Arabidopsis thaliana: one gene and its partner. The protein of the gene in region 1 interacts with the protein of each later gene in a pairwise test. Each region holds a gene or a part of one and is shown on either strand. Other genes may lie near its edges.

Region 1 (4,265 bases):
CTTTTGAAACAAAATCAAAACCAGGAATAATCAGAGGATGATGATTTTTAGTACACGGTTGATGAAATCGATGTTCTTGAGTAAGCGGATATGGGATCATCGATCAAGTGTCTGTTAACTATCTGAAAGAGAATATTAAAACATAAGGAGGCTAAAACATTCCTAGGTGTATATCTATGACAAGACGAAAAGTTGATTTACTGAATTACTCCTAGACCAAGCATTCCGCGAAGAGAAAGCAGGAACTCGCCAACCCGACGATCGTGTATCCGAATCATAACTATAATTGGGTTGATTTGGAACAGAGGAATAGCCATTTCTGTTGTTGTTCATAGCTGAGAAGGAATGGCTTTCTTGTTACATATTAGGGATATGATAAGTTTTTGTATTAATGCAGTTTATATTCCTTTTCTTGCTTTGAGTTATTCTTTCTCCACTTATATGATTCTCTAAAAGCTGATAAATTAAGCAACGAATCTGTCCTAGTATGTGATGCCATGCCTTGTCTCCTGAACAAGTATCATACGCTTCACGAATGCTTTGTCACTTTATTGATCTAACTTGAAATGGATTCACAAAATTCCTTCCCTTCTCATTCTGCTATGCTTAACCCGGCCACCAATAATTATATCCAAAAGTAACTTTACTCGAGAAAGCACAAGAAAGATTCTACATTTGTTTGGTCTTGAAACAGGGGAATTATAATTACTCAAAACAGTAATAATCACAAATCTCTCGAAAAATTTTATATCAAAGCACAATCCAAGATGATACAGTATTTCATCTACATCAAATCCATTTTATTTGAAGAAACATAAGTCTGATGAAGAGAGTAATAACAGCGCGAAGGCGAAAATAGAAACCGAGCAAACACAGAAGGCACAAAGAGAGAGAGAGAGAGAGAGAGAGAGCCCACACCTCAGAAAATAATGTCTGAATCCTTCTCAGCACCACCAACAAGGAAGTTACGAGCAGCGTTTATCGAAATCCCTCTCTGCATAGAGATGTCTTCAAGAACCATTTCCTCAGCAAACTCCTTAGCATTAGCTGCCTGTCGTTCGACTTCCCTCCTCTTGTATCCCTGAATCTTCTTCAACCTGAAGAAATCCTCTCTCTCAAGCTCATCAAGCTCTCCCTTGATGTAACTGATTGTATTCTCCAGCTTTGGTTTCACCACATTCTCCAGAGCGTTGACCCTACGGTTAGTCGTCTTGATTGCTTCATCAAGGGTCAAGAAAGAAGTCTGGAGAGAAGCAAGCTCAACTAGAACTTCAATGGCTTTCACATAAGCAACACGGCAAGCTCGGACCTGTTGACCACCTCTAGCTAAACCGGTCAAGTCATTCTTGGTCTCACCTTCAGAGAAGTGATCAAACTTAGGCAGCTTCACTCCAGCGATATTCTCTGTCCGAGAACGAACCTTCAAAGTAGCTTCTTTAACGTTCTCGAGGACAACATGTTTGACATTGTCACCAGCAACATACTTTACTTCGGTAAGAGCAAAAGACGATGTCTTCATCATATCTCCCATAGACTCCTTAGCTGTAACGATTTTCTTGAGAAGTGCCCTAAACTGAACAGTTAAAGCATCACTCTTTTTCTTGAGGAGAGCATGACCTCTTGTAGCGCCAACAAGACGAGCTTTCATAACCCCGAGCATAGTAACAGTGGGAACCACATTCAAACGCGCGTTTTGGCCAGCCATATTTCAAAACTACAGCAAATGAAAGAGATGGGATTAAACAAGGACACAAACAGACTTACTCTATTGACAGAAGCCAACAACAGAAGATGATTTTTCGATGATGCGAAACAATACTTGCATCATTGAGGAAAGAGATCAACATGGAAATCTCGTAAATTCTGGTTTACTAATTATAATTGAACAAACACGCAAAGATTCTTAAGTTTCACTAGGAAAATCTTAGGCTAATGAACCAAGCACCCAATCATTATCTCGAACGATCCATACAGAGATTCATCAGATTATCCATTTTTTGTTCCCAGATTGAATCAAAGTCTACGAATTTTCTAATTGAATCAAAGTCTACGACTTTAGGATAGATCGTTTCCCAGAAGATGAAATCTAGATCACAGAACACACCTAATCAATTGGACTCAGAATTGAGCAGTCAGGTTATATGGATACACGCCTAAATTTCCCACCAGATTCAATTGTTTCAAACCAAACTAAGAGAAGAAAAGAGTGAGATTTGGGATTGACATACCTGGGCCTCTCAAAAGGTGAATTCTTAACAAGTAAATCACTGAAATTAGATTGGAAGAAGCCAAAGAGAGAAAGAGAGATAGGAAGACAATGAAAATTGATATTAATTCAGAACTGTCGACAGGGGTAAGAAGATCGTATTCGACCTCGTCGCTGTGATCGTGGAGAAGAAAGAAATGGGCTAATTGTGTAATTAACCGTAAATATAAAGGGCTTATTTTTTACAAATAAAATAAATACGTATACAGCTCATCACGTATGGTGGGGCCTACTTTCGTGTCCTAAATCTGAGACCCATCACTTTCGTCTTTAGACGCGGTGAACTATATATCTCACGTTCTTATTTAGTGCTTAGGACAAAAACAAAACTCGGCCAAATACATTTTTTCATTTCCAAGTTTCAGGGATGAAATCTTGTTGTATAGAGTTTCCAAATGGTTGAGGAGAAAATAATCTCTCATTCAACACTATATTGTATGACATTTTTTTAAAAGGATATGATTTGGTGGTTAACTAATTATTCCGAATCAATGTGTGATATATAAAAAATCTTAGAACTAAAGCAATGTGTTATATTAACTAAAGAAGAATAAGAAGATCTTCTTTTAGAACTTTCCTCACAAAAGGCACAATATCTATCAAAAGTTATGTCTTAATTTCCTATACCAACTTAATTATTAGATGGAATTGATTATAGAACCACTATACTTAAGATATGTTTTAAATCATAAATTTTAAAATAACAGACAAACAAATGAAAAACAAATTCAATAGTATGTAGATTATTGAGTGTTTTAACTATAAGGAGAAAGAAAACAACACACATTGTTGAGAAGACCCTTTTGGTTTTCGTCATTATTGCTGCATATATGTTCAATTACCAATCTCATCTTGATTTGTTGTCTACTATCTTCTTACTGTTTCGGTTATATTTAATTTAGATTTGAACTGTTTTTATCACTTTATGATTATTGTTCAACATCATATTCTTAAAAACATGCTATAATACACAAATATTTTTATTTTATTTTGACAACTTATACATACATAGACACACACACATGTATTACTAACTCGAGGTCGGATGGGGTTTACCCAAACTATATTTTATATAAGCATATATATTCTTTATATATATTTGTATATTCGCTTGGCTTTCCGAGTCAAATTTCATATTAGTAGTATAGGAACGAGACTTGACCCAGCTAACGCCTTCTTGATGCATTCGAAATGGAAACTTGACCCAACTGATCCAAATCCGAATCACAGCTTGGTTCTTTCTCTCACTGTCTCGTAATGCCTTATCCCCGCTCCAGTATAGACCTGTGCCAAAAAAAACTTTTGATCTATTCAAAAACTGCATATATCCATTAAAAATTGTATTACTCATGAGCCAAAAAAAGAAGAAGGTTCAAGTCATTAATATATCCAAGAGTGTATGTATCTATGCATAATGTATAATCTCATGAGCAAAAAAGAAAACTTAATTACTCATTGATCTATCAAAAAGTGTCTTTATTAGCCATGAGCCAATGTTATCTAAACAAAGTCACTTATATATTAAAGGTGTATTTTACCTGTTGGGGTCTCATGATCTTTGTGTCAGGATCATCTAAAGACTCACGCCAGTGTGACAAGTATCCAGCGATACGTGATACTGCGGTGAATGATGATGGGATTCCCATTGCCCTGTGTTTTGGCCCATTTCAGTTACCAACAAAAAAGATTCAAATAAAGAAAGAACTCAATGGTTACAACAACTCATTAGTCAGAATTTGTTAGATAACTAATCAATGTCTTACCTATTGATTAATCCAGAGTAGAAATCAACATTTGGGTACAGCTTTCTCTTAACAAAATATTCATCAGAAAGTGCCGCCTTCTCTAGAGCATCTCCTACCTGAAAACATTATTTATACACCAAATATTTTCTTAAACCAAATTCATCATACATATGAAGGATTCAACAAGGAAACGTGAGCAACAAGAATACAGAGTACCTCAACCAGAGGATCCCTTCCAAGAATGGAGAACACTT
Region 2 (3,359 bases), on another chromosome or scaffold:
ATTTTCCACATAATAAAATCGTAATTTCGAGTTTGTTTCTTTAGATTACTTGAAGACAATATTATGCATTAACTAGAGACCCAGCGTAATTGACCTCATATCCTTCATTATGTCAACTCTATTGTTCATATATATGATAATTCAAAAGTTTATAATACTATTTAATTACAATTAGCTATTGAATCAGTTTATAATTTATAGGTTACAATAAAACTAGACGGCGTGATGGATGGGATCATGAAGAATAATTCCACCACTTGACTTTGAATTCCAAATGAGAATCAATCTTGTATATATCTCACCATCATCAAAGCGCGTACTGACATTTTTGTCCCAATATAGTTAGTATATAAGCTACACAACTTGGTAAAATAGTCAAACCAAAACACATCACTACTTCACCCTAAAGAAGACTCATTATCAAAAGTCGTCTTACTATTTTTACTATAAATATATACTCTCAAATCCCTTAGCTTAATAAGAATCACGAAAACAATAACAAACACACAAAAAGAAGAAGAAAGAAGAAGAAGATATTAGCCATCATGGCCGCAAGAAAACCGTCGGTGAGGCATCCGAGCCACAACCATCCATTGCGCAGTCACAAGGCCCAAGTTGAAGAAGAGATCATTTGCTCTGGTTGCGACCTCGACCTGATAGGTGCAGCTTTCAAATGCACAAAGTCAGAATGCGATTACTTCTTGCACAAGTCATGTTTTGAGCTTCCACGTGAGACTCGTCACAAGGCTCACCCGGATCACCCTTTGATACTGCTGTATTCCCCACCTTACGAGTCAACTTACACGTGTGATGCGTGCGGTGAGTATGGATCCGGATTCACTTACAACTGCTCTATCTGCCAGTACGATGTTCATGTTGGATGTGTGTCCATGCCTGAGTCCGTGGAGCGTGAAGGACACGCACATCCACTCACATTGCTCTACCGTTCTCCTTACCAGAACGGTTTGATCTTTAACTGTGATGTTTGCCAAGAGACTGTTCCAGATAATCTCTGGTCGTATTATTGCAAGGAATGTGATTATGGCACGCATTTACATTCTTGCGCGGTAGAGGAAGAAGAAGCAGAAGAAGAAGAGCCAAAAAGAGGAGGAGGAAGTGCAAGAGGAAACACAAAGAGTGGTGGGAATAAAGGAGGAAGGGGCTCAGCGGCATCGGAGTTAGCTGCAATGTTGGAAGCTCAAAGAGAGATGGAGAAGATGCAGATAGAGTTACATATGGAGATGCAAAGAGCTAAGATTGCTAAGAAAGCGAGAAAGGCTTGTCTCAAGTTGATCTAAAAACTTGTTTACGTTTCTATCAAGTTATCTCGGATTCTTAATGCTTTGAAACTCTTTTGTTGTTTGGACGTTCTTTTTTCATTGAATTGTTGTTGCAAGCTTTCATGTTTGTTAATTATTTTCCTTTTGAATAAAAAGCCTTTTGACTTTATTTGTTCTAATCATTACATAAAGTTGAAAATTACCACTAATCGATGATAAACATTGACCTTCAGAAACCCAAACAGAACCAAAAAAAGATTTGTATCATTATTTAATTGTTGATCCGCCGAATAGCAAAAAGTCAAAAACCACGTCAGAGATACAAAACAAACAATTAAAAAAACACTATCGCGTGAGATTCACACGCGCCGCTTCGTTGATTCGTCGTCTGTTTACCCAAACTAGTAGTATCAGATTTAAATCACACGATCACACGAAGGAATCATCATCATCATCAGAAATTCAGAATTCAGGAGCAGTAATTAAAATTGATTATTTTGATTATAAAATAACTCAAGAGAGATCACAGAGAGATATGGCGGAGGGTAAACCCGACGAGCAGCTCTTTCAGCTTCTTTCGGGTCTTCTTCAACAGGTTTCGCTTTTCTTTTTAATTCGTTAACGATCTGTTGAAATTCGTTTCCTCTTGATTTTGATTTTCGTTTCAATTACGAGCCGCTTCTATTCGTCAAATTTCCCTTTTTCTGTCTAATTCGTCAAAAAAATAAAAGGGCAAGAGCTTTTTGATATTGTTGTTAATGGACACTAATTGTTACTACAACATTGACAAATACAGATGATTTTGTTGCCTACTGATGATTTTTGTTTCTTAGGTAGAATCATTGACAAATACAGAAGAGGTTGAGCTACGTTCTAAGATTGAAGCTCTTGGTTTAGAAGTCACTAAAGTGCCATCAAAGTCTGCTCAACACCTCAATGAGGTCTGTATCCTGTGTTCACTCATATATCTGGTACACATTGTAATGTAAATCTGAGGCTTTGTGTGTGATTGTTTGTGTTTTCAGGTGGAGATAGCTAAGGAATTGGACAAGTTATCAGCAAAGTTAGATGATGTGGATGAGATGATATCATCAGCTATAGCTTCTGATCCACAGGTTCAGACGCTTCTTAGCGGCACAGCTGATGTTTGGATGCCGGTTATCACTGCCGGCGCCGAAGAGAGACTCAACTTCACAGCCTCTCTTGCTGATGATGATGACCTTTCTAACAAGGAGACTACTACCGACAATACCAGCAGCTCTTAATCCCATTTTCTTTTTGATAAACTCATGTCGAAGTTTTCTATTTTGCAGTCTTGTTTCTTTTATGTATATCAAAACCAAGATAAGCTTTAATTCATGAGTGATATTGATGTTTGATTTTTACGCAAACTGAATACAACTGTTTATTTATTATCACGAGTTTCCCGGAAATGCAAATTTGCACCAAGCATGTGTTTCTCAGGAACAATTTCTACATGAACAAATGTTTCTTCTGTCAATAGAAGGTAAAAACAAAAAAAGCTATCCAGTGTGGAAGAGAATGACTTTTGTTGAAACACGAGAGAGTGCGACAACTCAGGACTCGGTGGTGACTTAAGCAGATGAAGCTTTCTTACAATGGGCTTCAAGCCAGTCCATGGTAACACTCTTTGGCCTCTCAAGTGCAAGTCCAAGAGCTCGGTCCCATATAAGCTGTGAATTAAACACAAATGAGAATGGAGAGCATATGAGTTCTGTTTTAAATGTTATGTAGTAACAAAGGCGTAATGTGTAAATATATATATGTTACCTGAGAGCAGATGCCAAGACTCCTTGAAACACCAAAGAGCACGGTGTAGTACCTATAAAACGCACAGATATTATATTTGAGTGCTATCCTAAGGCTCAATGATACTTGAAGGAGGTGTCTACTTCTTACCTTGCTTCGGTTAGACCATAGTGGTTCAGCAAGACCCCACTGTGAGCATCAACATTTGGCCACGGGTTCTTCACCTGTAACAAGCCATCATCGGATTCGCAAGTAAATAAAAAATTGATTCGCAAGAGATTCATAAGCCCCTAGCATGTAGGTAAGGTG

What was found. The genes of interacting proteins can lie anywhere in the genome.
Region 2: the proteins of AT3G58730 (region 1) and AT2G44360 interact in a two-hybrid assay, tested with the Arabidopsis thaliana proteins (one large-scale study listed by BioGRID).

What each region holds. Positions count from the first base shown.
Region 1 is NC_003074.8:21,717,576-21,721,840, forward strand, and holds AT3G58730 (vacuolar ATP synthase subunit D (VATD) / V-ATPase D subunit / vacuolar proton pump D subunit (VATPD)), read right to left. Parts: upstream 2,479-4,265; 5' UTR 2,229-2,478; intron 1,715-2,228; 5' UTR 1,706-1,714; coding exon 920-1,705; 3' UTR 613-919; downstream 1-612. Other genes in the region: AT3G58720 (RING/U-box superfamily protein), read right to left, coding at 55-122, 202-333; CSY1 (citrate synthase 1), read right to left, coding at 3,491-3,550, 3,805-3,916, 4,030-4,127, 4,228-4,265. UniProt on the Arabidopsis thaliana protein: Subunit of the peripheral V1 complex of vacuolar ATPase. V-ATPase is responsible for acidifying a variety of intracellular compartments in eukaryotic cells, thus providing most of the energy required for transport processes in the vacuolar system.
Region 2 is NC_003071.7:18,320,041-18,323,399, reverse strand, and holds AT2G44360 (ecotropic viral integration site protein), read left to right. Parts: upstream 1-1,703; 5' UTR 1,704-1,815; coding exon 1,816-1,875; intron 1,876-2,113; coding exon 2,114-2,221; intron 2,222-2,305; coding exon 2,306-2,545; 3' UTR 2,546-2,668; downstream 2,669-3,359. Other genes in the region: AT2G44370 (Cysteine/Histidine-rich C1 domain family protein), read left to right, coding at 546-1,298; ATCS (Citrate synthase family protein), read right to left, coding at 2,876-2,974, 3,072-3,123, 3,201-3,274.